4 linked regions of the Struthio camelus genome follow. The protein of the gene in region 1 binds, or shares a complex with, the protein of each later gene. Links are inferred from orthologs where the notes say so. Each region holds a gene or a part of one and is shown on either strand. Other genes may lie near its edges.

Region 1 (7,137 bases):
GTGAACCAGTTCGCGTCTGCCGTTACTTGCTGTAGAGTAGAGATAAGACTGCCCGCTAACCAGATGTTTCTGTGCACTTCTCCTGCTCTGATGTTCTCACAGGATGCAGCTATGTGGTCTGCAGCTCTATTTCTAAGAGACAGCCATGTGAGACCTAATTTCTCCGAAATAAATCTTGCAGTGACAACGTAGGGTCCCTTGTGCTTTGCGCTGTCCCTGTTCTGTGGTGCCCTCAGAGATCTTGAAGTCTTTTACCTACCGGCTGCCCGTTGCCGGGGCTGGTCGCTCCGCAGTGCAGGGCTTCGTGCCTTGCTACCACAGGGGAACGTTCGCGATACAGGGAGCTGCCCTGTGAGTTACCACAGCTCCAGCCTTACCCGCAGAAACGGTCGGTGGCTAAGAGCTGTTGGTTGGAAAGGAATTGCACTGGGAAAGATGAGAAGCTTCCTTTCCAAATGCAAGGGCGTATTCTGGCAACGGCAGTGAAAAAATTATGGATAGAAAGGTGCTTTAAGCTGGTGTTTTAACTGCTGTGGAGGAGGGGAGAAGAATTTGCCTTGTAAGCACTAAGAGGAGGAAATGACTTTGCCTTTTGATGTGATCTGGGCTCCGTTTGCAGGCAAGGGCAAAGGGAAATCGTCTGTGACCTGTGAGCAGAGCGAGCAGGAGCCAGCTGACCTGAAGCTGCCCAAGCTGCGTACCTTAGACGTGTTCTCTGGCTGTGGAGGGCTGTCTGAGGGCTTCCACCAGGCAGGTGAGCTGCAGAGCTGAGACAGCAGCTGGGAAATGACCAGAGCGCACGGGGAGGCGGGAATCAGTGCTGGCCTCTCATGCCGAGTTCCTGCTTGGTGTCTCGATCCCTTTTGTTGGGCGCCGTGTTTGGGATGGAGCATGAGCTGGATCAGGCGATGTGAGGAAATCCTCGCTGCACAAGCGCAAGACCCTCTGCTTTGCCTCCCTCCCCAGGTGTGTCGGAAACGCTCTGGGCCATCGAGATGTGGGAGCCAGCCGCCCAGGCCTTCCGGCTGAACAATCCCGGCACCACCGTGTTCACGGAGGACTGCAACGTCCTGCTGAAGCTGGTCATGTCTGGTGAGAAGACCAACTCGCTGGGGCAGAAGCTGCCGCAGAAGGGGGATGTGGAGATGCTGTGTGGTGGTCCCCCGTGCCAGGGCTTCAGCGGCATGAACCGCTTCAACTCCCGCACCTACTCCAAGTTCAAGAACTCCCTGGTGGTCTCCTTTCTCAGGTGAGCAGGCCGCAGTGAGGAGCTTGCAGGTCAGTGGCTTGTCCCGAAGGACCCAGGCGTCGAATGTTGCTCTGTCTCTCTGCTCACATGTCCCTTTCCCTCCTCGCAGCTACTGTGACTACTACAGGCCGCGGTTCTTTTTGCTGGAGAACGTGAGGAACTTTGTGTCCTTCAAGCGCTCCATGGTTCTGAAGCTCACCTTGCGGTGCCTCGTCCGCATGGGTTATCAGTGCACCTTCGGGGTCCTGCAGGTAGGGCGGTTGCGGCTGGAGTGCGGCAGAGACCGCGCACGCAGGACACTTCCTTTAGCGGCAGGTCCTGAGATAGTGAACTAGGGCTAAAACCCCTCTCCTCTAGCCTGGCTCTGCAATGAACTATAACCTCCAAAGGAGCAATTTGCTGTGTTACTGCTCAAGCTCTTTGAGTTTTGTCTTCCCTCGGTCTGGCGGAGGGGACGCTCCCAGCTCTTTCAGGGCCCTGGTTGGATGGGGACGCTCCAGGCCTCGTTGCGGTCTCCTCAGGAGCGTCCTTTCGTTCCCAGGCTGGTCAGTACGGCGTGGCCCAGACGCGACGGCGAGCCATCGTTCTTGCCGCGGCTCCTGGTGAGAAGCTCCCCATGTTCCCCGAGCCGCTGCATGTGTTTGCGCCCCGCGCCTGCCAGCTGAGCGTCGTGGTGGATGACAAGAAGTTCGTTAGCAATATCACCCGGTGAGCCTTCAAAATGGCACGGTTCCCCCGCAGCGGGGCCGGGGCGCGCACGAGGGCAGGACGAGCGTTGTGGGTCTCGGGCGGGGGCCGCTCTCATCGCTCGCTCCTCCCTCCCAGGACGTACTCCGGCCCCTTCCGAACCATCACGGTGCGGGACACCATGTCCGACCTGCCGGAGGTCAGGAACGGAGCCTCCGCCCTGGAGATCTCCTACAACGGGGAGCCGCAGTCCTGGTTCCAGAGGCAGATCCGGGGCTCTCAGTATCAGCCCATCCTCAGGGACCACATCTGCAAGGTGCGGCCGCGGGGGTCTCGGCGGGGGGCCGGGTGACGCCGCTTCCATGCTGCGCTGGCATCCACCAGACGGGGACGGCGATCGGGGCGAGGGGAGGCCGTGCCTAGACCCCGGTCTGAGATTAGGTCAGGGACGTCGCGTGGGCAAAACCATGCAAACGGGGAGCGAGAGAGACCGTCCCAAAGCGCTCCCTGTGCGCGTACCCGCAGCCCCCTTCCCGCCCCGGGAGGGAAGACGAGGCCTGCAGCGGTGCAGGGACCCGTCCCCTTCCCGCGGCCTTTGGCAGAGGTAGGAACCGGGCTGCAGCGCCGCTCCTAGGCCTGACCTGCGTCCTTCCGCTGCCTTCGCCCCGCGGCCAGGTCCCGGGGCAGGTCGCCGTTGGCCGGTGGCGGGAGGTAACGCGGGGTTTGGCGTCCGCAGGACATGAGCGCCCTGGTCGCAGCGCGCATGAGGCACATCCCCCTGGCGCCGGGCTCCGACTGGCGAGACCTGCCCAACATCGAGGTGCGGCTGTCGGACGGCACGACCACGCGGAAGCTGCGGTACACGCACCACGAGAAGAAGAACGGCCGCAGCAGCTCCGGGGCGCTGCGAGGGGTGTGCTCGTGCGCCGAAGGTAGGCGACGGCCCGGCCGAGCGCGGCGCCCCACCGGCGCGCACCCGCCTCACCTCTCGCCGCCTTCCCCCCCGCCCAGGCAAGCCCTGCGACCCCGCGGACCGGCAGTTCAACACGCTCATCCCCTGGTGCCTGCCCCACACCGGGAACCGGCACAACCACTGGGCCGGGCTCTACGGGCGCCTGGAGTGGGACGGCTTCTTCAGCACCACCGTCACCAACCCGGAGCCCATGGGCAAGCAGGTGGGTGGCTCCGGGGGCTTCGCCGCTCCCGGCCCGTCCCCAAAACGCCGCCCCCGGAGTGGAGGGGGGGGGCTCGGCGCCGGTCCCGGCTCAGCCCCATCCCCTCCCGTCGCTGTCGCAGGGCCGGGTGCTGCACCCGGAGCAGCACCGGGTGGTGAGCGTGCGGGAGTGCGCCAGGTCCCAGGGCTTCCCCGATACCTACCGGCTCTTCGGAAACATCCTCGACAAGCACAGACAGGTGAGCGGCGGCGGCCGCCGAGCCGGCCCCGGCCCCGGCCCAGCGCAGCCTTCCCCGGCCTGGCAGCCGCCGGGCCGGCGCGAGCCTCACCCTCCCTCCGCCGGCAGGTCGGGAACGCGGTGCCCCCTCCTCTAGCCAAAGCCATCGGGCTGGAGATCAAGTCGTGCGTGTCGGCCAAGCTGAAGGAAGACATCGTGGGTAGGTCAGGGCGGGGGGCGAGGAGCCGCTTCCCGCCTTGGGAGCAGCCCTTTCCCGGGGTTGCCCGTCGCGCCGGCTGGGGTGGGCTCCCCCCCAGGCCCGAGGGGACCCTCGTTGGGGTCCGGGGCAGCCCGGGGGGGGGGTGCCGCCGGCGCCTCCTTCAGCCGCCGCTCTTCCCGCAGACGCCAGCGCCCCGGAGAAGATGGAGATCGCCGACTAGCGCCCGCCGCTCCCGCCGCCGCCGCTCCGGGACTCCCAAACATGCACTGATTTATCCCCCCCCTCCCCTCCCCTCCCGTTTTGTTTTTATTTTTGGGTTTTGGTTGCAGGCCCGGCCCGGGCCCCTGCCCCCCCCCGCCCCCGCCGCGGCCGGGGCTGTTTTTACGACGCATTGTATTGAAAATAATCGGCCGCTTTGTACAAGTGGGAATTAATACTTTATGTAGTTTTTATATGTTGTAATATTTCTTCAAATAAATCTCTCCTATAAATTATAACCGCTCTGCCCCGCGGCGGCGGCGGGGGGGGGGTTGGTTGCCCCGGGCAACCGCTCCCGGCAGCCCTCGCGCGCGCTCCGCCCCGCCCCTTCCGGCCGGGCCGCGCTTCCGGCAGCGGCGGAGCCGGAAGTTCCGGCGCGTCCTTCCGGTCGGGGCGCGCGAGGGCGGCGGCGGCGCGATGCCGACGGGCGACTACGAGTGAGGGGGCGGGAGGCGGCGGCGGCGGGGGGCCCGGGGCAGGCCGCGGGCGGGGGCCGGGGGGTGTCGGGGCCCCGGGAGGTGTCGGGGGTGGGGGGGGTTGGGGCCGGGGGGGGTGTTGAGGCCGTGGGGGGCGCGGCGGGACCCCAGGACATGGTAGGGCCGGGGGGTGTCGGGGCCCCGGGAGGTGTCGGGGGTGGGGGGGGTTGGGGCCGGGGGGGGTGTTGAGGCCGGGGGGGGCGCGGCGGGACCCCAGGACATGGTAGGGCCGGGAGGGGGGATGTCGGGGCCCCGGGAGGTGTCGGGGGTGGGGGGGGGTTGAGGCCGGGGGGGGCGCGGCGGGACCCCAGGACATGGTAGGGCCGAGGGGTGTCGGGGCCCCGGGAGGTGTCGGGGGTGGGGGGGGGTTGGGGCCGGGGGGGGTGCGGCGGGACCCCAGGACATGGTAGGGCCGGGAGGTGTCGGGGCCCCGGGAGGTGTCGGGGGTGGGGGGGGTTGGGGCCGGGGGGGGCGCGGCGGGACCCCAGGACATGGTAGGGCCGGGAGGGGGGATGTCGGGGCCCCGGGAGGTGTCGGGGTTGGGGGGATGTTGAGGCCGGGGGGTGCGGCGGGACCCCGGGACACGGTAGGGCCGGGAGGGGGGATATCGGGGCCCCGGGAGGTGTCGGGGCTGGGGTGGGTGGATGTTGGGGGCCGGGGCGGGATGCGGCAGGGCCCCGGGACACAGTGGGGCCGAGGGCGGGGGGTGTCGGGGCCGGGGGGCGACGCAGTGGGGCCCCGAGACACAGCAGGGCCGTGAGGGGGGATGCGGTGGGGCCGGGAGGTGTCAGGGCCGGGAGGGGTGTTGGGGCTGTTGGGGGGGATGTCAGGGCCGGCTGGAGCCGCGGTGGCCGGTGGCGGGGGAACCTGTCGCCGCCGGCGGGGCCGGTCTCAGGCTCTGGCGTTTCCGCAGCTCCAAGCCCAGCTGGGCCGACCAGGTGGAAGAGGAGGGCGGCGACGACGGTAAGCGGCGCCGGCAGGATTCCTGCTCTTCGCCCCGTCGCTCCCGCTCTTCCCCGCGCGTCGCGGGAGATTCGTCCTGCTCCCAGAGCCAACGGGAGCGCGTTTTTCTCCCAAGATACTCGCCTTACGTCCAGGGTTCAAAACAGGCCCAAACGTCTCTTCCTTGCGGCTGATCCGTAAGAGAAGGTTATGCCTGGCCTAGGGCAGGGACCAGTCCCCCCTCCAAGTCCCTCTTACCCATTTCAAGGATTCGAGGAAGCTGGGGGGTTTGGAGCGACCGACGTCCCCGCACCCCGGTAGTGGGGAAGGCTCTCGATGGCCGCACGGGCGGGAGCGGGGAGCGCCGGTCCCCAGGGCCGTGCCGGCGGTGAGTCCTGCTTCTCTTCCCGCAGACAAATGCATCACCAGCGAGCTGCTGAAGGACATCCCGCTGAGCGGGGTGCTGGGCGGCAGCCTGAGCGCCGAGGCCGAGCTGCTGAAAGGAGGTGAGAGCCGCCTGCGGCGCGTGGGGCTGCCGCGGTAGCTGCTCGCGTCGGCCTCCAGCTCACCGTCTCCCCTCCGCGCAGGTCCGCTACCCTCCCCCAAGGAGCTCATCAACGGCAACATCAAGACCATCACGGAGTATCGAGAGGAGGAGGACGGGCGCAAGGTGAAGGTGAGCAGTGCGGCCCAGGCAGCGGTTCGGGCCATCCCCGCGGCAGAGCCCCCATCCCTCCCTCCCGAGAGGGCACCGCTCCCTGGTCCTGCCAGCGCAGCTGGGTGCGGGCTGTTCCCAAGGGCCGGGCTGGTCCCGGCGGGCCGCGCTAAGGGCGCCTCATCGCGCCCGGCTTCAGCTCTGCCTCAGGCTGCTCTAGTTGGGGCCTGAAGGGTGTCTGCCACACGCAGGCCGTCCCTCCTCCTGCGCTGATAGACTCTGTTATGCCCCTGCAGATCATCCGCACCTTCCGGATTGAAACCAGGAAGGCCTCCAAGGCGGTGGCCCGCAGGAAGGTGAGCGCGCGCCGTGCGGGGCAGGGGGGACAGCGCCGCTTGTAGGGAGAAACAGAAAAATAGAAACTGTACTCAAAGAAAATCTGCTTCTTCTGTCAGCGCTCCCGCTCTGCGTGTTCCTTCTGCTCGATATTTTCCCCGTCTCCCCAAAGTATCCATCGTTAGGGTTGCTTTTCTTCCTGTTTGTGGTTCGCGCTCTGCGTTCAGCACTAGTGGGGCTATGTTGGTCCCAAGTGTTGTACAGGACTCGGGAGTGCGTCACGCGAGTGGGTCCCTCCCAGCCTTCCCCCTTCCCGAGCAGCCTCTGGTTCTCCCCAGAACTGGAAGAAGTTTGGCAACTCCGAGTTCGATGCCCCCGGTCCTAACGTGGCCACCACCACGGTGAGCGACGACGTCTTTATGACCTTCATCACCAGCAAGGAGGTGAGTCCGGAGGGGTGGGAGCCGGCGGGACGTCGGGAGCCCCGGCAGCCGGTGTGGGCGCCGGCAGGGGCGTTTTGGCTCTGTGGTGCTGAGGAGTCTTTCCTGTGCCCAGGACCTCAACTGCCAGGAGGAGGAGGATCCCATGAACAAGCTGAAGGGACAGAAGATCGTGTCGTGCCGTATCTGCAAGGGTGACCACTGGACCACGCGCTGCCCCTACAAGGACACCCTGGGGCCGATGCAGAAGGAGTTGGCCGAGCAGCTGGGGCTGTCCACAGGCGAGAAGGAGAAGCTGCCGGGAGGTACGGCATCCCTTTACCCCGGGCGTGGGGCGACGCACCTGCCCGCAGCGGGGGCAGCGCTCCCCTCGCGTGCCCCGTGACGGCCTGGCTTGGCTTGCAGTGGCCGCGGCCTGGTGTTGTGTCTCTTTGCAACAGCTGGATTCATCCTTTCCCTGGGGATTTGGTTTCTGGAGGTGGA
Region 2 (8,007 bases), on another chromosome or scaffold:
TAATTCAGAAGAGGTCGTCTTAATTCCAAAATACATCCACTAACACCACTTAAAACTTTGAAGCATTTCAAAGATACTAATTTATACATACTTAACTAAAATAAGGTTACTGAAAAACATCTTCCATTTCATGCAAATAAACCCTTGATGAAAGCAACTATTACAATTTCATATGCTCCACCACATGTACCTTTAAATGTACAAAGATGCGTGTTCCAGAAAAACAGAGAACATTACTTGAAGATTACAGGTTCTCCACTATTTAGATTCCCAGTCAATATTTCGCGTTCTCCTTCAAAGAGGAAGGACTGTACCATGTCAAAGGCTGTTGCCTATACGATAAGAAGCACGTTTCCTAGTTTTGGCTTTGTTAAGTATAGGATTGCCCAAGAGTAAATAGATGAAAATTCCTTGGCAGCAGGCCTGTCTTCTGGGAAACTTTTGTCACTTACGAAGATGCTAATTTTAATCTCATGAAAGGCAAAGTTTCCTAAACTTAAAACAGTTACTATCTTTATTAAAATACCTCCATAACAAACTATAGAATCTGAATATATTAAAAAAAAAGAAAAAAGAAAAAAAAATCTGAAGTGTGAAATACCAACTTGAAGGCAAACTACTGGCCAGAAAATACTTTGGGCTTGTATTTTAGACCACGTCATTTTTCTTATGCAGGTACTTTCCTGAGGCTGACAGTTACAAACAAGGTATCTACAATCTAAGCAATTATCTCACAGGCTCAGTTGCATGATCTTTAGCATCTATACAGTAAGTGCAACTCAAAGTAAAATAAAACAGCTTTATTTGCTCTAGGGGCCCTTGTCTCTAAATGCAGCTCCAGTACTAAAGCCTTAATCCCTTAATAGTAACTTTCTTACTGGTAGGAATGTTTTGGTAGGAAAACTTTGTTCCTTTATCAGAGTAGCCATACAAAGCTGGCGTCTTTAAAAGAATAACAGCTTATAGTCCAGTTCCATTAAGACATTATATTGTAGATGAAAAGTTTCTCACTTTCAAAGGAATCAGGAAAAGCAAACTTTGCTAAGTCAATTGGAATCAAAAAATAAATAAATACAGACACGTATGTATGTGTGTGTACACAGATATGTAAAAATAAGTATACATGTATAGTCACATTCTAACCACAAGCTTTACAAACTACCGTAGCCACTGTATACAGAGATACCTTTACTCATTTTGCCTGGTGTAATGTGACTGACACCTATAAATGTAATAACACCCCCACACCCTATAGTTAAGGTGAAAAATAGGCAGCCCATAACTTACAAAAATATTTGGGTTTTTTTTGTTGTTGTTGTTAAGACAAGATGAACTACTTTTTTCATACTGATTGAAAAAAAGAATACCCACCCTAAGCTCCAAGGACAACCGTGTTGGCGTTTTTCAGAGGTTCTGGTAACACAAGCAGCAGCCTAAATAACAAAACCAACAAGTCCTCGCCTAATAAGCAGCAATACTCTATTTCAGAAAGCCTCATACTTCTGACCATAATATAGTACTCATCACCTAGTGAGCTACAGGATTGTCTATTGCAGCACCTCAGCACCTTGATTTGAAACAGAGAAGTGTTTTTCAGTTTACCCATTTTGATTCCTAATAGTCAAACACATTCCTTTTATGTCCCCTGGCATCATTTTGCTTACAGTCTATACGAACGCTGAGCAAGTTAAGATTTCTGTGGCATCCACCACTCAGTCAATCTGGCTTGCTAAGGGACAGCTGGAGCTAAATAAAAGACAACAAGCTTTTAAAGAGGGTCTGCTTTCATAAATATTACAGATGAACATTCACACATTTTAATACAAACTCCATGCAGACATTACACTTTGAAACACAGTAAGAAGAGAGCCTTAAGTAAACAAAACATCTTTTAGTGATCTGGACACTACCAAACCTGAAAGAGCATAGTAGACTGCTTTATTTTCCAACTGTGGTGGGGCTTGGGGGGGGGGGGGGGGGTGGGAAGAAGTAGGAAGAGGAGTGAGAGCAGGAAGGGACAGGCTGCTGCAGCCCAGAAGTTTCTGGTCAATAGAAGTAGTACTAAGACAGCGCTGCTTCCATTAAATCCAACTTTTAACGCCTCACCTAGTCTATGCTACTCAAAACCAAGGATCTGAAAGAGCATTTGAGAAGGTCTACAGAAAGCAAGCAGAAACCAGCTGGCTGCAGAAAAGCACCAAGCTGCTGGCAAGCAGCTCAGAAGCAGCAGGTGGATTCCCTAGAAAACTGGAGAGTAAAAGTGTCTTTCTCTTTTGTCACCTGGAAGATCCAATATAAAGCAAGTGAACCTTAAGGAAAAATAACCAGTCTAAGCGAGGATTAAACAAGCACAAAGCAGAAACGCAGTCTTTTCCATGTGGCATCTCGACTCGTCATCTCCGCAGCAGGCGGCAGAGCCCGGGGCCTCAGAAACCCATTTCGTGGCTCTCACCCCCCAACCAACCCCCCCCCCGGCTCCTGAGGAAAACCCGCCTCAAGCCCCGGCAGCGCCGCAGGAGCCGCCGCCGCCCTCGTCCACCGGCCCGGCCCGGCCGGCAGCACGGGGCCCGCCACACGCGGCACCATATGGCAGCGGCGCGGCCGCGGCGGCCCCGGTCTCGGCCCCCGCCCGCCCCAGTGGGCCCAGCCCGGCCCCGGCGGGAACAGGCCCCGGCCCGGGCCCCGGCCGCACCTTCACGTCGTCCTCCTCATCCTCGCCGGCCCAGCGGTCCCCGGCCACCCCCGGCACCAGCCGCTTCGCCACCGGCTCCACCACCTCGAAGCTGTCCGCGTCTGTGGAGGAGAGGAGAGCGGGTGAGCGGCGGGGCAAGGCGGTAGCCAGGGCTCCCGCGGGGCGCCGGGCACGGCCGCCGCCACCACCACCACCACCACCACCTACCCCACGAATCCGTCTCCGCCGCCATCTTGCCCCGCGGAGCAGCGCCCACAGCGAAGCACGGTGAGTCAGCCGCGCCGAGAGCGGCCAGCGCCGCGCGCGGGGCACGCCGGGATGGCGGCGGACTGACAGGGCCCCGCCCCGCCGGCCAGCCCGCGCTCCCGCCTCCCCCACAAGCACCGCCCCCTAGGGGCGGGGCGGGGCGGGGCGGGGCGGGCTGAGGCGAGGCCGCCATGTCGGTGCCGGGCTGAGGCGGGGTGGGGCCGCCATGTCGGTGCCGGGCTGAGGGGGCCGAGGGGGTGCGGGGGCCGCCATGTCGGTGCCGGGCTGAGGGGGCCGAGGGGGTGCGGGGGCCGCCATGTCGGTGCCGGGCTGAGGGGGCCGCGGGGCCGCCATGTCGGTGCCGGGCTGAGGGGGCTGCGAGTGTTTTGTAGCGTTGTCATAAAACACCTGCAGAGCGAAAGGAGCCTGCCCCGTACGGTAGAGATTTGCCAGGAGCAGTGCGCGCCCTTAAACGCTGCCCTCAGGAAGAAGGGGTTTCCCGGTTGCTGTGTTTGAACACGTCCCCACTAGGAAAAGAAGGCTGGGATTGCTGTTCCAGGTGGGAGGCACAGAAAACGTTACTGTCAAACGTACTGCTGTCGTGGTGTATTGCCCTGTAGAGGACAGGGAATAAGCTGTTTAAGAACTTTCCTATGGATATAACCGGGCCCACTTTTGGTGCGTCCTACTCCTTTTAATACCCTGGTAAGGTTAAAATAGTACCGTTTTGTACCTACGGAACCCGTCCGTACGAGGATGATCCTGCGGAGAGCCTGGGACTCGGCGCAGGCCGCCCCGTGCCCGAAAACTATCTTTTTCCCTGGTAAAGATGAGGCTTGTGACTGAGCCTGAGATAATTCCTCACGCCCTCTGCAGATGGCAGAGCTAAAACATAAATATGCTAACGACATAAAAAATACAGCAGAAAACCGTAAGCTTCTAGGAACTAGCCTCATGCACGGTAAGCTTTGCCACCTGACGTTGCAGCGATTACCTCTCGTTTACTACAGCTTTGTAGTAAAAAATATCCTCCGATACTGTCGATAGGCCCCTTTATGAAGGGAAAAAAAATTATGTCCCAATCAGGCATATTTTTATTAGGTTTGTATGGATTGATTCTTAAAAATAAGAAAGAAACACTAGAAATAGAATATATAGGACTGGGCGGGGGGGGGGGAATGCTACAAAAAACCTAATTCAGTTTCAATTCAGTCAGCTTGTGCTGTTGTGGATTATATAGTTTATCTCATGCTCGCAAACTATAGTTCAATAATTTAATTTAAATAGCTGCAGATAATTAATACATTATTCGTAGGCTTTTGATAATAACATTTCCTTCAGCAATGGAATCTCTGTTTTCTGATAGGCTTTCTCAGTACAAAAATTTCCATGACTCAAACGTTATGCCCCTTATCAGACAATAAATGTATATAATGCTGTGATCCCAAGACTAAGAAGAGACCTTTACATGCTATATTTCAGGACACAGTTTTTTGGAGCATCATATATTGTCCGGTATTGACACACCAATACAGAGTATTCTGGTATCAGTACTAGGGAACTTTTTAAGGTTTCTCGGGAAGCAGTCCAACAGAAATTACATAACTTCCTGCACATCTTAGATATTTCTCTTTTAGGATGCCTTGCAATGATTATAAATGAAAGCTCCACTGGATCTGAACAAATATGGCTAATAACTGCATATCTGTTTCCTACCCTTAACGGAGCCAAGAACAGTTATTCACAGGATTTGAATGACTTTCTATTCTTCCTATTCCTAACTCATAAATACAGACAGAACAGGCAGAACAAAAACAACTTAAGTCACAGGCTCTAAGTAGGCAATCCTATTCAGAAATAATTAAGTTTTACTAATGAGAAATGCTCTAGATTCATCTAGCACGGCTTACGTCCACCTGAATACTACTCAGCCCTCAGCTATTTTCAGTTCAGGGAATGAGAGGGAGTTCTTTAAAACAGAATGGGAGAGAAGAAAAGAGAAAATACTTTCAAAAGTTGTTTCAGACTGGTGCCATAAACTATTTCCTAATCCCCTTAATAATAGTATAAATTTATAGTAAAGGTAGGTTATGATTTAGTCAGTTCCCAGCTTTCAGGTTCGTGATCAAACCACAAATAAACATGGGCGTAGGATTGCAGTAAAGCTGTAGAGATAGTCTAGCAACCAGATTATGCTTTCACAATTTATCTGCATAATTCCTTCTCTTTAAGGTGGGGTTTTTAGCTCAGTTCCCAGGGGGGATCGTGGCCTTGCAATCACTATAGTTGTCCTTTACTTAAAAACTTTGAACTCACCAGCTGGCTTTAACCAAATTGAGCAGAGGTCTAAAGGTCCCTTACAGGAATTCAGTGTCTACAAATATAAAATAGGTATCAGATGGAAGACAGACTCAGTGGAAGGAAGGGCTGTAGCCTGAGCTGTCAGTCAACCACAGGACACAAATCCACAGATATCCAAGCTGCCTTACTTCTGCTGTACAGGGGCCTTTAGTTCCGCTGCAGTTAGTCCAGTGAAGTCACGCTGCACACGCAGTTGTAGCCGTGATTTTCCCACACCAAATAGCAAATGAATTCTGCATTTTTTAATTTCTAGAGCCAGCTGTCATTGGAAAGTCATTCTCTTGCTATCCCACTGGCTGGAGGATTCATTTTAAACAGTAGATCCATAGAAGTGAAAACTCTCTCTGCGCTTCTTCCAGTCCCCCCTGGATGCCGCAAAAACTGCTACATCCCACAGATTCCAGGATAAGTATTTTAAGTGCTTGAACTTTCTAGAGAAGTGGGTTTACACCTTCACCTTGCTGCAGATTATAAAGGGACTGTTTGCCTCTTACGGTTTCAAGCTGTCACTCTTCTCCAACTTCTTCTCCAACTTCTTCCCCACTGCTACCAGGGAATATTTTATTTTGAAATGCTCTGAGGCCTGTGTTGTCCCTTTAGATTGTTCTGCACGCAAGACAGAGAGAGCGACTGTCACGGCTCCAGAGCTCTGATTTAGCCAGAGGTAAGCAGACGTCTGTTCAAGACCTGACGTTTGATGCTTCATGTTGTTTGGATGTTCCTGATGGAATAGGTTAGAAGTGGAGAACTGTTTTGTCTGAGGATTAAACATCAAACTCGCTGATATGCCTGGGAGCTACAACCAGATCCAGCCTAGCCTCTACCAGTTACACTGGTCTGTTTCCTTCTACCTTGTCAAATGCATAAATGTTGGAAACATTGATTAACTTCATCCAGTTTACTTCATCACCGCCTCCCAACTCTGTGATGTCATAGGGACATGAGAATCTGATCAGATTTCTCACGGGGAGTTTACTGAACCAATTCTGATGCTTCTTGGAGAAGAGTTTTTACAGCAACAACTTTCTGATGCTGAAGAAGAGGAGACATTGGTGACCCATTCAAAATCTAAGGAAATTAAAGCTCTAAATTTTCAAATTTAGAATGGTGACACTAGCCAACGTTACTATTGCATTGTTCTCTGGGAAACAGTCTGTGACTGTCGTCATGCTGCATATTTTCAGATAGTAGTAATGCGAAGCCACTGATAAAATTCCTGTGATGAGGGATCTTTACTAACTCACGGTCCCTCTTTTTCTCCATAGCTTCAAAGGGTCACCAGCAATTCAGGCATATATTTGGGTGTCTTTCCTTATCTCCAGCCCACTGGTTGATAAGAGGATATACATGGTGCACGCTTTTTAGTTGCTAATAAAGACCAACTTTTGGTTTCAGAATGAGCGTTCTAAAAGTAGATCCTGCTGCCATTATAGGCCATAGCATACATCTGAGCAACTCTTGGCACTAGCAGTGACATTGCTTCTGACATTGTTTTAACTTGATTTTATAATTGAGCTCCAGGCCAACCATTAATGTAAATCAGTACTTGTCTCTCTCAAGCTGCACGAACTCTTGCATTTTATGACATGCCATGCCAAGCACCTCCTTCATTATTTCCTGTGTGAGCTATACTCACAAACAGCGTACCCTTCTGCTAGGTACTTTTTTCAGTTAAGCCAAACCACCTGTTTCAGGGGGTGATCTGCTTTCTGTTTTAGTTTTCAGATGCCGAAGATCTGCAAGGAAACGCATCTTTTCTTCTCTGACCCTTTTTCTCGCAACTGACTTTAGAAGCGTATTTCCAAAAGTCAGCAGTTCCACTTCAAGATGCTAGAGCTCAAAGGCTGTTAGAAGATGTTCCAATCTCATATATGATGTCTGCATGTCCAAGTAATGATGGATCATACTGAACTGCCATACTACCATGTCCTCTATCATCAGGAAGGGGGTGTAAAATTCTTCCTCCTCTATCAGGAAGCAATTCCATACTGGGACTGACACATAGAAAACAGTACTCATCTCTCAGCAGTTCACCAATGCAGACCTTGAATTTATTATCAGATGAGCTGTGCAGGTTCTTGTCTCCAAATCCTGAGTGGGAGATCTGCATTGGTATCCTCAAAGTAGTCTGTGAACGGGAGCCACTCAAGTAGATTTGCGTTGTCCACATCAGGAATAAACGTCACTTCTTGTCTCAAATATTTTAGCGCCTGAGGTCTTTCTCTTAGGTTCATTGCGGTCGCATGGTCAGACCGTCGGGTGTGCGCCTCTCTTCCAGTCCCATTGCTTCCACAAATCTTGATTGAAATAAGACAAAAAAGCACCAAAATTATTCTGATTGTTTCAGCCTCGTCTAAGCAGTTTCCTGAAACCTCTACCATTGTTCCCAAACCTACTGATGCAAATGTCGTATCACTCGATTCAACCCAGCCTCAAAACGTTCCATCTCAAAAGTGTGCATGCTAGAGGATCTCTGTTCAAAGTACTCCTGCTCTTTTCCAGTAACGTAAGTCTTTATAAATAGCTCTCCAAGTACGTCAATTTAATGGACCAGGTTCTCTTCCGTATTAACCGTTGAACTATTTTGGAATAACTGCTGCAGTTAAGAGAATCTGATTTTTCCACTAGGCTGCTACTTCAGCACACCACTCTCCTGTGGACTGGACCCCTTCTCTGCCTTGCCTCACGCTTCTTAAAATTTCTGAAGG
Region 3 (6,988 bases), on another chromosome or scaffold:
TAAAAATTCTATCAACCACAACTCTGAAAAAGCTGGCGAGCAACTGTCACTCAAGGAAGGCAGGCTTAGAGTTCAGCATCCAGGCAGCTTAGGAGAGGGGTGAAGAAGGAGCAAAAGGAGGCCACACTCAGCAGTGAAGGCATTTGGCCTGAGAGAACAGCAGATTGAGAAGGCAGTTAAAAGCGCAACTGGAAAGATGAGTTGCACAGAGGAATGCACACCAGGGAGGTAGGAGGGCTTCTCAGCCTGTGAACAGAGGGAGAGAGCAATTGAAACACAGCTTTTTCTGGAGGACAGTGATCCTTCTGGGCAGCTGAGCAGCCAGATAGTTGCTGGCCTGTGACAGGAGCCACTTTAGATGCAGTGAAGGTTGTTTGCAATGAGAACGCAGGAGCCAGCATTAAGTCTTGCCACTTTAAACAAGATGACTTTGGAAGAACAGTCTGAAGAGGTTTGTAAACATTAGTCTTCTCATCTCGGGGAAGGTGCTAAGGCTGAAGATTATTTTCTCTGGTTTCTGGGTTTGTCAAGAAGTACAGGGCACTGGGAACTAAACATATGGTACAGGCATACAGTGTGCTTGTTGTCTAGTTTAAAAAAAGAAACAATTGGCTATCTTTGATGCATTTGTTGTAAGAATTACAAAAGGAACTACTGGAAATTAGTGTTTCAATATGAACCTTAGTCTTCAAGTCCCCTCTTTGAGCAGAAGTCCTGCGCAGCAAATGGGAATCACAGTCACACAAGTTGGAAAGTAACCCCTATCCTAAGGCTTTCCAAGGTGTCTCCAGGTAGGGAAGAGGGTAGCTTTTTTTCTAGAAAAGAACCCTAATAGGTTGGGAGCTTTGAGTTGCTTTCCTTCATTTAAACCTGGCAAATTTCTTATGATACTGCCTGAGCTGCACGTTCTTCTTGCTCAGCAGGATGAGTCTGCTGTTCAGCACACAGCCAGCTCACAGAACAACAGCTTTTGAACGAGCCCTGAATTGCTGCAGGAGATGGAGGGAAAGCACTAGATTATGGCTGTGAAGCCTTTGGACTGGAACAGCCATGATGCTAGGACAAAGCCCGCTTTTATGGATTTGCTAACACCAGTTGCAGATCCCCAAAATAGAGAAATAGGAGACAAGGCTGCAAAACCAGATGGGAGCAATTTATCCTGGCTGTTCTCATGAGCATCTTCCAGGGAAAACTGATTAGCCTGATTAACTGTAATTAATTGATTAACTAGAATTGTAGATTAATGATCAAATGATTGCAAGAAAGCGTATTCTGAGCAACTCAGGGCTTCACTGGAAAACTCATGTGCCTGTCATAAAAGCCCTCAGCTAGATAGCAAATTATTGGCAGAAATGGTGCTTGGGGTTGGCAAGACAGGAACAGAGGGGTACATGCAACACTGGAGCCTCGACCACAGCATTGGACAGGAGATCAGAGGCGGCAGTGTATGGTGCTAAATAAAAAGTGAGGTAAAACTTACTCACTCCCCCCTCGTAAATCTGACCTAAATCTGGCAGAGAACATCACCCTCTTCAAGTCTGCAATAAGTTCTTAGAACTGAAATATTTTCCCCTGGATAAGAAACTGGTACTTTACACTGGAACATAAAGGAGTATTTATTCTGGACAGGACACTCCCTACGCATGCTCTGTCCTCTGAACCATGCCTCGTACCCAACTCTGTCCCCAGAGAAGGTATTTTGCTGGGCTAGGCCCAAACTGCAAATAACCTGTCAGCTTGGAAGACGAAAGCAGCATTACAGTCTCTTTTAAGAACCTCACACCGAGTTGGGAGCGAAAGGGAAGCTGAGGAAAGGAAGAGGAAGGGATTTAAATTATCAGTCCATTTGACATTGCTTCTCTTTATTCATTCCCTAATCCAGCTTTCTCTTTGGGATTTCCTGTTCCTTTTATCGCTGTCTCCCAAGCAGGACATGAACACAACAATGTTCAGATTGAATCTAATGTATCAAGCTGGATAAAGTGTATTTATCTGTTCCACATAGATAGATAATGAGGAAGTTAGTTATAGACTGGAATATAGCCAGAGCAGTCCCAAAGGTGCGTAAGGCCACCTCCCACAGCCAGAGCCCTCTGAGCCTACTCAGCCCGCCACCCGAGTTGGGGAGGGAAGGGAATGGGAGTTGGTGGGGCACTGCAGGAGTCACATTCTGGAGCTAGAATCCACTGCGCCACCACTGGAGAGCAGTGAGGCAATTCCAACACTCATTACATTTGTGCCCAGGAGGGCCATTTAGGTGGGACAGTTACAAATTGTATTTTATAAACTATATTTCTATAAGCGGATTTTTCACTAGCTAGGAAAATTGCTCTAATAATCCTACTCCTGATTAATGGGGAGGTATCCTGGCAAAGTAGAGACTGCTGCAGCTTCTGTGCTTTCTCAGGAAGTAACTAAAGGTGGTGAATTTGTAAATAATGGAGAAAATGCACACCCTTCTGAAGAGTATTGATCTAGACTTTTCTTGGGTTAAGGATACCCAGGAAAATTCTCCAGCCTATGAGCTGAAGATACCTGTAAGCTGGATCCTGGTCTTTTAGTGGTAGAGAAAATTTCAGTGATTTGAGTATCCAAGATTTACCAATGAGTTTTTGCTCTCACCATCTGAGAGGGGAAATAGATCCCAGTTATAGACAGGGATCTGAGGCATGTGTTATATTAAACGACTTATTCAGGGTCTCCTGAAGAGGCTATGGAGTTGAATGCGAAGTTGTAGCCCTACATTTCCTCTCTAGCAGGTCAAGGAAAGCCATCAGAGGCAATGCAAAACATCTAATATCATATTGTGAAGGCAACAGGGACAACTGCAATTAGCACTTTTCACACATCCTTACCCCTCAAAGTAAAGTATTTCGTAAAAATACTCTAAAACCCAAAGTCAGTTGTATGACCATACAACTGCAGTCAATACTACCTACTTCTCTACAAAAACATTGCAAAGTTTGCAATACATTTTTATTTCAAGAGGCTAACAAAAAATGCTTTGTCTGACAAAATTAAGAGGCACAGAATTAGATCGTGCTTCCTATCCTGATACACTGCCTTATTGATATACTTCTTGTCAGGAGCCCTGTAAGTCTGTTCTTTATCACAGACACAAATCTATCTGTGAAAATAGGAATTTACCTGTCAGACTTTACAGTAAGTCTTTTTCATGTCTGCAGAACAACCTGGCACAACTGGACAGGAGGGCACTGAAGCATAGCAGTAGAAATGTTTGTCAGTTACTAAGTTGAGGATCAGTATCCTTTCCTGTACATAATTTTAGGCAGAGTAATTTGTGCTCAACCTCCGTCAAAGAAAAGAAGTCTTCTTGATATGCAACAGTCACCTCTGATCATGAAGTCCAAGTATCCCTATGAGAGCAACAGATAAAAAAACCAAGGAACTCTGTGAAACAACCTGGGCCATCCCACTGCGGCCAGGCAGAGCCGTTATATCAAAATCATTCCCAACAGATGTTGGCTTAACAAAGGCTTAAATACCCCTATTCACGTTCAACAACGTTTCTAGAAGTTTAATCAACTTTACAGCGAGAAAAGATTTTTCTAACATCTCACTCAGATCTCCATTGTTTCAGTTTGAACTCATGTTTCTCCTCTGCTTTCAGGAGGCAGGGAAAACAATCTGTTTTCTTCCTCTTTGTGACAGCCAAGTACAACCCGAAAGGCTTTGTCTTGCCTCATCTCGGCCTTTTCCACTTAAAGCTGAACACAAGCTCTTCTGCGGATAAGGCAAGTTTATTATCGCGAATACCATTTTTTTTCCCCGTTAACCCCACGTACTGTTGGGCAGGTAATTAGGAGGGTGCGGGACTTCAGTAATCGCTACCGTTGTGACAAGAGGCACCATCAGAACAGGGAACAGGCTAACTCAGCCCCCACGCAAGCCACGGGTGACGCGGTTTGACGTTATCTGGGACCCCCCCCTCCCCTCCGCGCCCCCCCATTCATCCCAGCAGAGCCGGCACCCCCAGGGCAGCTCGCGGGGCTGCTGACAGAGGGCTCTGAGGCACTCCGCCAACTAAATCCTGCGTCATAGGCAGCAAGAAGAGGAAGAAAACTCCGGCAGCCACCGCAACCGCCGCTGCCGCGGCAACCGGCACCGCCGCGGCCTCAAGGCACACTGGGATATTGGAGGGAGCGCGGAACGTCATGGAGGCGCCCGCGGGCGCGCTGCAGCTTTTCTAGCCAGGCCGTCCGGCAGCTCTATGGTTTCGGCGTCATCCAGACGACATCTGAGCGGGAGGTGGGGCAGAGGTGCCCGTGCTTTACGGCAGCCCCGGGGCGGGAAGAGCGGAGCTCCTTGGCGGCTTTATTTATTTATTTATTTTACGACGGCGGCGCGCGGCGATGACGCGCTAAGGCCGGGCCGGAGCCGTGCGGGGCCCTTTCCTCGCCGCCGCCGCCGCTGTCGTCGTATCCGCCGCCATCGGGGCCGCGCAGGTGAGGAGCCGCCGGTGGCGCGGCCGGGGCCCGCCCGCTGCCGCACTGGGGCTGGGCCCGCGGGTATCGGGGCTCCCCCTCCACCCGCGGCCCCGCCTCTGCCCCCGGTTCCGGTGGGGCCGAGTTTCCCCATCCCCCGCCCTGCCCCCAGGAGCGTCGCCTCGCTTGCGGCCCCGCGCGGGGCCGGGAGGTCAAATAGGCCCGTCCTTCTCTTGAGGCACCGAGGCCTGGGCCGCGGTGTCCGCCGTGTCCGTAGCGCAGCCCTGGCCGCCCTGTCCCGCAGCAGCGGGTGTCGCGGTGCTTTGGCAGGGTTTGCCACTTGGCAACTGAGCTTTTCTGGTTGCTTTCCCCCCCCCCCCCTTTTTTTATTTTTACTTTTTTTTCCTCTCCTAAAGGTTTAAAAAATGGCCAAGTTTGTGACACCAGTGATCCAGGACAACCCCTCGGGCTGGGGCCCTTGTGCTGTGCCTGAGCAGTTCAGGGATATGCCATATCAGCCCTTCAGTAAAGGAGACCGCTTGGGAAAGGTATTAAAATCATGTCCTAATGTGGAGCTAGGGAAGGTGGCAGCCTTTGTGTTAACCTGCTGAATGAGCCCTATGTTCCTTCTTACATATCACCTGTGCATAGTAGTGGTGCTTTATTTTCAGAGCTTCTTTACTAATTACTATGACTGTTTTTGAAACATCCTTTGTAGTCCATCCTAATTAGCATAGTTGTGAACTATTAGCAAGATTGGCAAGCAGAGGTGGGAACTGAAAGGAGTGATTCTGGAGCATAGAGCCATATTTGCTTTTGCTGCTTGAAGTCCTGCATATGTAAAGTCAGAGTTGCTACTTGCTTATTTTGACTGTTTGTTTGTCCTTAGGTTGCAGACTGGACAGGAGCCACTTATCAGGATAAGAGATATACGAGTACGTGCTGTTTGGTGACTGCTCCTGTCATTTGTTTCATACAAGCTTACTTCAAATGTCATTCCTGCTTTCATGTTTCATACCGGCTCTAGTGGTTGCCTACGTTCCTCAGCAAGAGCTGCTTATATTCAGAAGTGTGCCTCACCCTTGGGAGAGCTCCATGGGGCTCTCCCCGTCCTTACGGTTTGCTTGTGGTTTTGTTCTACCTCGTGACTGGTGCTTTTCTTGGAGGTTTAGAGGCAGAGCAAACTGCAGTGGTATAAGGTAGACAGTCCCAGCTAATGCATCAGGCTTGAGGGAAGGCGTTTGGAGGGGATTGTTCCCCCCTCCTACTTCGCCAGTCTTCTTTTCCTAGAAGCTTGATAGCAAGATGCTTTGTTTTATTTTCAGACAAGTACTCTTCACAGTTTGGCGGAGGAAGTCAATATGCATATTTTCATGAGGAGGATGAGACTAGCTTCCAGTTGGTGGATACAGCACGGACGCAGAAAACCGCGTACCAAAGGAATCGTATGCGATTTGCACAGGTAACACCTGTTTTCCAAAACTCTGAGAGCTTGAGTGGTAGCAAATTATTTTATAACTAAAATGTCTTTCTCCCCCCCGCCCCTTTTCACAGAGGAACCTTCGGAGAGACAAGGACCGTCGGAACATGCTGCAGTTCAGTATGCAGACACTGCCAAAGAGTGCCAAGCAGAAGGAGAGGTGAGACCCTCATACGGGTATACTGTATTTGTATGAATTGTGTCAACAAAGTATTGATAAATTGGGTAAGATACTGTAGCAGAAACCACCAGAGCTAACAGTCACCAAAGAACAACTTGAGGATTTTTTTCAAGTCCATTGTTTTGCCCAAGTCACTTGTAGTTATAAGCATGGGTTTCAAACAGCTACTTAAGAATTTAGGAGAATTTCTAAATCCAGTTCAGAAAATAACCGTGGTAATTTAAAATGAAGTATACTCCTTTTGGAAGCTGCGTTGTAGTCTTCAAAGGTGAAAATATTTAAACAGCAGCTCGGAATAAAGAGCAGAGCTTGTAACGCTTCACACATCTTGATCAACAGACAGCTCAGTGAATGTTTCAGTGGCTTGGTGCCGAAAGGTATTGTTCCTTTGGTGCTAAATTGGAAGTGTAGGAGTGGTTGTGGCATCTAGGAATCAAGAACTTGTCGTGATGGCTTTTCACATGTTTGCCGTTGTAGAGATCGTTTGCGTCTACAGAAGAAGTTTCAGAAACAGTTTGGAGTGAGGCAGAAATGGGACCAAAAATCACAGGTAAACTAGCTTTCTGACCCCTGTGATTGTCTAGTTCTTTCTCTGCTCTCATGAGGCAATTTCTCTCTCACAAATCCTGATGTGTTGTGTCTCTCTCTCTCTCTTTATCTGTCTACTGTCTGGCCGCACAGCAGAAGCCTCGTGACTCCTCTGTTGAAGTTCGCAGTGACTGGGAGGTGAAAGAAGAGATGGACTTCCCTCGACTGATGAAGATGCGCTATCTGGAGGTGTCAGAGCCGCAGGACATGTGAGTTTCTAAAACAGCTGAGTGCTCGCTTCCTGAACTGACTGGGTTTTGGAAAGTAGCAGGGCAAGGGCCTCGTGGCCCATGC
Region 4 (6,954 bases), on another chromosome or scaffold:
ATTCTGAACAGCTAAATCAATCATTTAGGGACTTATTTTTACAGTTCAATATTTTCGACACTCGTCTGAGACAATTATATTGTAGCATTTGGTGTTTGCTAGGGTTTGGGTCCCCTGCCACCCCACAGCTATCATTCACTCAGTTGGTATATATTTCTTCCTCTTCAATGAGTGTAAAGCTCTGACTGTGAAAGTATCTGTTGGCCTGCCTATGACAGCTTGTGTACATTTATCTTCGCTACTTTCACTTACTATCACTGCAACTTCTTTTGTGAAGTTACCTTTATTTTAGCTTGGTTTTCTGTGTTTCTACATAGTGACTAACAAGCACACGGCAATCCTCAAAGTGCTGTTTTTGAACACCTGATATCTTCTCTAAAGTTAGCATGGTGATGAAAGTTATATTTTTACATTGGTGCAGCAGGCAATTAATACTACACCTCATTATTTTTAGGTAGTATTTGGATTTTCACTCTCATGCTACCTCTATAAGTCCCACATGTCAGTATTATTTCTTTTATAATTAGAGTAGCCCCTTAAACATTATGCAAAAGGCGAAGTGCTTGAATGCCTCTTGCTAACATGGAGATAAATCACTGCCTATGACTATACCATATAAAAGCCCTGGACTGATGGTAGAATATATGGCCCCTGAAAAACACAGATAACCAGTAAATCACAAAAGCATTGTTAACTTGGCATAAAAGAAAGCAAAGAGAGTCTGAGAGCACAATGAAGGCTGGAGACACAGACTTCCAAGCAAGAAATCTGAAGTGATTCAGAAAGTGAGACTTGATATTCATTTTCTTCTATGTAAGTATAAGATAATAAGTAGGATTATGTAAAATAAACAGTAAGCTCACTGACTGATTTCCTCTTGGCAGAAATAACTGAAAGACTTTAACTTGGACAGAACACAATAGAAAATTTTGTTGTAATAATGGAATAAAAACCATCAGACCTAATCCCATGAAACTAACCAGATGAAACCTCTTCCTGAAACAGTGAATGAAATAAGTTGTAAATATTTTATTTTGCCTGTACTACAGAAACAGTTTTCCTCAGTGCTAGAAGTGATGCTGCTTCTAGTAATATAAGCAAGATGAGGGGATAGCTACTGATAAAGGGATTATACACCATCTGTGCAGGTGACACAATAGCATATGCAGTAATGAGTCGACCACATAAGAACTGTAAAGAGAAATCCTACAAAAGCAGAGCTAAAAAGTCATTTTACTGTCAAAACAAGATGGAGGGAAACTACGCAACAAAAACTGTAAAATCAGAAGGCCCTGTGGTACCACACTGATCTGTGTTCATGTGAGAACGTTTCTTTCATTTATCCTCTAGGCAGATAGATTGTCCTGTAATAGCTAAACATCTTTATCACTTCAGAGACGGACACTAAGTTTTCAGTGACAGGCAGTCCTGATGTGTCACTGGTAAATTCCCATCTCAAATAATAAACTGATTATTTGCGAAACAGTATTAGTTCTGAAGGCCTACATTTTCCACAAGTCACACAACAAGCAAGAACAGTTTTGCAGCTTGGACACCTTAGGTCCTAGCAGCATCACATGACTGATTTTCTTACCATTAAACAATCTCTGTATAAACTGAGCTTTGTGTGAGCTGACCGCTGATCTTTGACTTTGGAGATCTAGACTGTCCATCCTTACTCACTATACACACACTCTGGCATGCTGTTCAGCAGCTTGACATCAACATACTAAGGAAGGCTGTCCCAGTTGCTAATTTCAAAGCACAAGTGCAGCTCCAAACTAAGCTGACCAATTTTAAAGGCTGCAGCATAAAGCTATAATGGTCAGGTCTTCAAGAGCCTTGCTTGCTTCACCTGAATCAGCAGGTGACTATGTCAAATTAAGCATCAAAGCCAGTTTGATGCAAATAGAAGTGAGATCAAACAGCTGCTCTCTAATAAGCATACCTCACACGTTTGACTTCCCAACGACACATCAAAGCTCCAGGAACATTTTAAGTCTTACACACAACCTTAGAACCCAGGCACACCTACAGGAAACGAAGGCTGCATAGCAGAAGCCTAAGAACAGGAGAGTCAGTCTTCACTGGCATACAGACCACCAGGTGCTTTCACAGAAAGATGAAAGCTGTGCATGTTCCCAACATCAGTGGATTAATCGCCTTTGTAGCTGTGATAGGTGCACCCTGCTTATGGAAAAGAGACACAAACTGCTAGAACAAATTCTTTTTGTTGAGCTGCTCCTTTTATGGTCTTCAACGACTGGGTAGGAACTGCTCGTCATCTGTTGATAATCTCCCCTCAGCTGATGAGGTAGACAAATCTCCAAAAGCCCCCAGTCCTGACAGAATGCTTTCTGATGTTAAAAGGGCTTTAATTAGTAACCCAAATCTAGGAAATTGTGTCTCAGGAGCCCAAAGTGGATCCATGTAAGAGCAAAGACAATTGCACTCCATGCAATAACCAGCACAGCACTTTTCTCTGTTATACTTGGGAAACAACTACCTTGAAAGATTCTCAATCATTCAAGAAGTCATCTGATTGACAAAGTGGTGCCAGAAAACTTAATTTCTGCCTGGCATAGCTTCACTGGTCTAAACATTTTATCAGGATGCAAGACTCCTCAAATACTTCAAAGACACTTGAAATTCTCCCTTGAAGTCTGTCAAATTAATATTTGTGAGGAAAAAGTTTTAGACTAAGACAGAGATCTGTTGTCATGTCGCTGCAACTTTTGAGATAACAGCTGCAGGCAGAAGGCAAAGAGAGGGAAAAGGAAGTGCAACAAGAACCCAGTATCCTTACCAGTCATCAAAAGCATACATAGTTTATTTTATAACCATACCGGCCCAACACACGTTGCTTTGTTTCCTGTGAGCGGACACTTGGAGTACAAGTAAATAGGTAAACAAATCCACAAAATCAATTTGTTAGATAACCATTAAGCCTTGGATACAGGTGATCAACATTCAGTTTCACTCTCTACGTGATACCTGATAACCACTTTGTTCCTCACTGGGAAGGAAGATCTAAAAACAGGGGTAACAGCACTGCAGCACCTCATGGGGCCATTAGTGCCACCACTGCATAGTGCTGGCATACAGCATTACCAGGTAACCTCCGCAGCTTGGTGCCACACTGTTCCCACGCTAGAGGCCTACAGGCTGCCGTGCTTACCACATCTCATATAGCTGTGGCACAGCCTCTGCACCGCAGGACATAGCAGGAGAGGCGCTGGCAGGTTCCACCCTCGCTGCGAGCAGGTCAAGGCAGCAGTAACGGCTCCGCCACCATGGGCTGGGCCCACCACTTGCGCTGCCACTGCCCAAACACCTTGGTGGCCATCTGCCATCAACAGTGACAGGTGCCAGGGTGCCTGGCCAACAAAGGCCCAGCAACAGCACTAGGGCCACAGAGGCAATAGGGCCCAGAAGACCCTGAGGAGCTCAGAAGCACTCAGCAGGACCCCGGCCTACTGCCTGCCCACAGCAGGGGTCTCCAGCCCCGAGGGACTGCCAGGCGACACTCACGAAAGCCAGAGGACTGCACACAACCAGCCAAGGGCTCAATGCTACACACAAAAGCATAAATCCCGCCCCTGCCTTATACCCGGGGGGGCGGGAACAGAAGGGTCACAACCAATAGACCGGCCTCCGTACACTGACAGACAGCAGTGGGAGCCTCACCAGCCAATGAAGGAGCTAACAGGCACGGAGGGTCCAATCGAAAAAGTTGCCGGACCCCAGAGAGCGCGCTAAAGACGGTGCGTTCTCCCTCCAATCAGAGGGTGCCTTCCCCCATAGCTTTCCTCAGATTGGTTAACAGATGTGAGGAGGGACTTACTGGGCGCCTCATTGCCCAATGGGAGGCAGAACTGCATGACAGGCGTTCAGGCCAGCCAATTATTACTGGCGCAGCCCCCTCTCCGCCTCTCTCTTCGCAAGATGGCGGCGACAGCTCCCACCGCAGCTTCGGTTCCTCCCGCGGCCGCCCCGGCACCGAGCCCCACGGCGGCGGCCGCCCCCCCGCCCGCCGGCGCCCCCCCGCCCGCCGCCCCGGCGCCGCCCGCCGCCCCGGCGCCGCCGCCAGCCGCGCCCTTGTCCGCCGCGCTCTCGGGCCCCTTCCCCGGCGGCCGCGTGGTGCGGCTGCACCCGGTCGTGCTCGCCTCCATCGTGGACAGCTTCGAGCGGCGCAACGAGGGCGCGGCGCGGGTCATCGGGACGCTGCTGGGTAAGAGCCGCTCGCCGGCCCCGGCGCGGCCCTGGCGGCCGGCAGCCCCCACGCCGGCCGGCCGCGGCGCCGCGCTAACCGCGCTGCCCTCCCCGCAGGGACCGTGGACAAGCACTCGGTGGAGGTCACCAACTGCTTCTCCGTCCCTCACAACGAGTCCGAGGATGAGGTACCCGGCGGCGGCGGGGCGGGCCGGGCCCGGTGACTTCGGCGGGGTGCCCTTGCTCTTCCCTGAGCTCCCGCTGATGGCAAGCGTTGGGGGTTTTCCCTGTGCTGTCCCGTGCTAAAATTCAAGTATTCTTGTTAGAGCTGGCTGTGCTGTCACGTTTTTTAGGTGGCAGTCGATATGGAATTTGCCAAAAACATGTATGAGCTGCACAAGAAGGTGTCTCCTAGCGAGATCATCTTGGGCTGGTAAGTTCTCCTTGGGCAGGAACATGCAAGCAGTTGTGTAGGTCTGTTAAGCTGCTTGAAATGCATAGTTCTTGTCACAGGTTAAGACAGGAGCCCTGATGCCTGCAGTTACGTTCTGCAGCTCCGTTACACACAGGCAGTTGTAAAACTGCTGTAATTCTTAATAGGAGGAAACAGTTCGAGAGACTCGCAGTGTTTACTTTGGTTTAGATCTAGAAAAGGTATCGCAGAAGAGTGATGAGTTACAGAATGCTTGCACGGATTTGTTAGAAGAACTATTTAGTGACCTGTAATACAACCTGTGCCATGGAAGATAACTGGTTAGAAAGAAGAGAGAACACAAAAATAGTTTCAAGTACCTAAGACCTCAGGATGAGTCTGTGATTTCAGTTTGAGCATGGAAAAGTTCTCTGCTGAGAAAAGGTGGAAAATACTTGTGTTTGGGAGGCCAGGCTAGAATCAGGAGGGTGTTACAGGGACAGAATCCGTGTCTAGGCCTCTGGGTGTGTGGATGGAGCAGATAGTTTCACTAGTCTGTCCATGTCTTCTCTGATCCTGGAAAATAGCATAGCTCTGTTTCTACGGAGCAAAATTCTGCAAGCACAATGCTCAGTTTTCTCAACAATCTTTTAATGGCACGGTGAACCACAGATGTAATGACGGTTTTCCTATGCATACAGGACGCTAATTGCAGACCAGATAAAGGATCTAGATTAACAAGTCCTGTCTCCAGCACTGAGATGTTTCATCTGTGGAAGATCTACTTGGTGGCTTATTGCTGGATTCAATTAGCATGCTTTGATTTACATTGAAATAAGGAGTTGGTCCAGAGCGTAGTGAGAGATGCTTGAATCTTGGGTGTTTGACAGCAGCTGTACTGACTCTGTGTGGCTGGTGCAAAAATGTTGGTCCTATGCATGTTGCAGGTATGCTTGTGCTCAGACTGTGATTCCTACAGTTCTGGAACCGCTAGTCATAAAGCTACAAATTATGTGGCTGAAACACTATTTGGTATGCCTCTGCAGCTCAGTGTTTGGAAATCAGTGTTTTAGGATACAAACTTGTTAAATATCCACAATAGCAAACATTGGGCACCTGAGTGTTGGAAGAACGGCTCCTTATGTTTGTGTTTTTGAAGGTATGCAACAGGTCATGACATCACCGAGCACTCGGTCCTGATCCACGAGTATTACAGCCGGGAAGCGCACAATCCAATCCACCTCACTGTGGACACAAGTCTCCAGAATGGACGCATGAGCATTAAAGCTTATGTCAGGTATTTTGGAAAGTTGCATTTTTGGGAAGGGTATATTTGGATTACTAAGAGGGACACCATCAGGATAACAAGAAGTACAATGGGCTACAGTGTCCCACTGAGACAATCACGTGCAGTAGTTAAAACAGAGTTGTGAGCCAGGGATCGTGTTTTTCTTCCCACTGGAATGTCTTGACCATCGTACGCAAGCTGAAAGACCTAACCTTTCATAAGCTGGTTCCTCATTGGAGGAGGAGAAGGGAATTCTCACTTAACTCATCTTAAGAGAGTTTTGAACGTCTTTGTGACATTTTACCGGATTTATATAGCTAGCATTAATGTCACTAACTTCCCTCCTATTGTCTGAATGGTAGACTTTATTCACTGAACTTTATTGCTGGGCAGTTTAGTTATACACGTCAGAGAATCAGTGTGATTAAAACATAATCAGCATCTTCTTGATCAGTCTTTCTGGCCCTCATCCTCTGCATTTTTATCCATTGGTAATGGAGGTTAAATACTGAGAAATGCAACTATTCCACCTCACTGTTCTTCCTGGTACTGACTGAACACCTCTCTTCTTTCCAGAATAGAGCCCTGGCCTTTTTTTTTTTTTTTTTTTTTTTAAAGCCAAAATCATACTGCTTCCTGACTATGCATCTCCAAAAAAGAAGCTGTTCCATGACATCTTACATACTGAAAGCATAAATGAACTTCAGATAGAAATCACAGATCATAGAAATAACAAAGGTGTTAAGAGTGCTTTGTACTTGAGTTTTTGTCATCTTTATTTTTGTTCCTTAAGGGATTTCTCAAAGACCGTGGAGTATTTCAGGATACTATTCTTGCTCTACAAGCAAGAAGCAACTAGACAGTACTTAGCTCTTCATGTGCTCACGCAGACAAACATCAGGCTAGTTAGGAATATTCTTGGATGAAAATGAGCAGTTAATAATATGCTTGTGTGCATTTCCTGTCCTCGGTTATCCAGGCTCTTAATACTGCTGATTTTGGTGAGAATGAGTAATCTACTCATGTTCACGCTTCAGTGTTA

What was found.
Region 2: EIF3G (region 1) and EIF3J share a complex: the UniProt entries of both Homo sapiens proteins name them as parts of the eukaryotic translation initiation factor 3 (eIF-3) complex. The link is inferred for Struthio camelus from reciprocal best matches to the Homo sapiens genes EIF3G and EIF3J.
Region 3: EIF3G (region 1) and EIF3D share a complex: the UniProt entries of both Homo sapiens proteins name them as parts of the eukaryotic translation initiation factor 3 (eIF-3) complex. The link is inferred for Struthio camelus from reciprocal best matches to the Homo sapiens genes EIF3G and EIF3D.
Region 4: EIF3G (region 1) and EIF3F share a complex: the UniProt entries of both Homo sapiens proteins name them as parts of the eukaryotic translation initiation factor 3 (eIF-3) complex. The link is inferred for Struthio camelus from reciprocal best matches to the Homo sapiens genes EIF3G and EIF3F.

The regions. Positions count from the first base shown.
Region 1 is NC_090972.1:4,971,340-4,978,476, forward strand, and holds the start of EIF3G (eukaryotic translation initiation factor 3 subunit G), read left to right. Parts: upstream 1-4,131; 5' UTR 4,132-4,222; coding exon 4,223-4,242; intron 4,243-5,194; coding exon 5,195-5,244; intron 5,245-5,636; coding exon 5,637-5,729; intron 5,730-5,810; coding exon 5,811-5,899; intron 5,900-6,174; coding exon 6,175-6,234; intron 6,235-6,552; coding exon 6,553-6,657; intron 6,658-6,769; coding exon 6,770-6,959; intron 6,960-7,137. Other genes in the region: DNMT1 (DNA (cytosine-5)-methyltransferase 1), read left to right, coding at 620-754, 967-1,249, 1,359-1,500, 1,791-1,957, 2,075-2,252, 2,673-2,868, 2,948-3,111, 3,233-3,349 and 2 more. UniProt on the Homo sapiens protein: RNA-binding component of the eukaryotic translation initiation factor 3 (eIF-3) complex, which is required for several steps in the initiation of protein synthesis.
Region 2 is NC_090953.1:1,192,482-1,200,488, reverse strand, and holds the start of EIF3J (eukaryotic translation initiation factor 3 subunit J), read right to left. Parts: upstream 3,017-8,007; 5' UTR 2,925-3,016; coding exon 2,900-2,924; intron 2,794-2,899; coding exon 2,693-2,793; intron 1-2,692. UniProt on the Homo sapiens protein: Component of the eukaryotic translation initiation factor 3 (eIF-3) complex, which is required for several steps in the initiation of protein synthesis.
Region 3 is NC_090942.1:59,344,286-59,351,273, forward strand, and holds the start of EIF3D (eukaryotic translation initiation factor 3 subunit D), read left to right. Parts: upstream 1-3,980; 5' UTR 3,981-4,466; intron 4,467-4,861; 5' UTR 4,862-4,870; coding exon 4,871-4,993; intron 4,994-5,334; coding exon 5,335-5,380; intron 5,381-5,770; coding exon 5,771-5,907; intron 5,908-5,999; coding exon 6,000-6,085; intron 6,086-6,583; coding exon 6,584-6,656; intron 6,657-6,787; coding exon 6,788-6,903; intron 6,904-6,988. UniProt on the Homo sapiens protein: mRNA cap-binding component of the eukaryotic translation initiation factor 3 (eIF-3) complex, a complex required for several steps in the initiation of protein synthesis of a specialized repertoire of mRNAs.
Region 4 is NC_090948.1:24,470,785-24,477,738, forward strand, and holds the start of EIF3F (eukaryotic translation initiation factor 3 subunit F), read left to right. Parts: upstream 1-3,935; 5' UTR 3,936-3,945; coding exon 3,946-4,231; intron 4,232-4,329; coding exon 4,330-4,400; intron 4,401-4,565; coding exon 4,566-4,645; intron 4,646-5,783; coding exon 5,784-5,921; intron 5,922-6,954. UniProt on the Homo sapiens protein: Component of the eukaryotic translation initiation factor 3 (eIF-3) complex, which is required for several steps in the initiation of protein synthesis.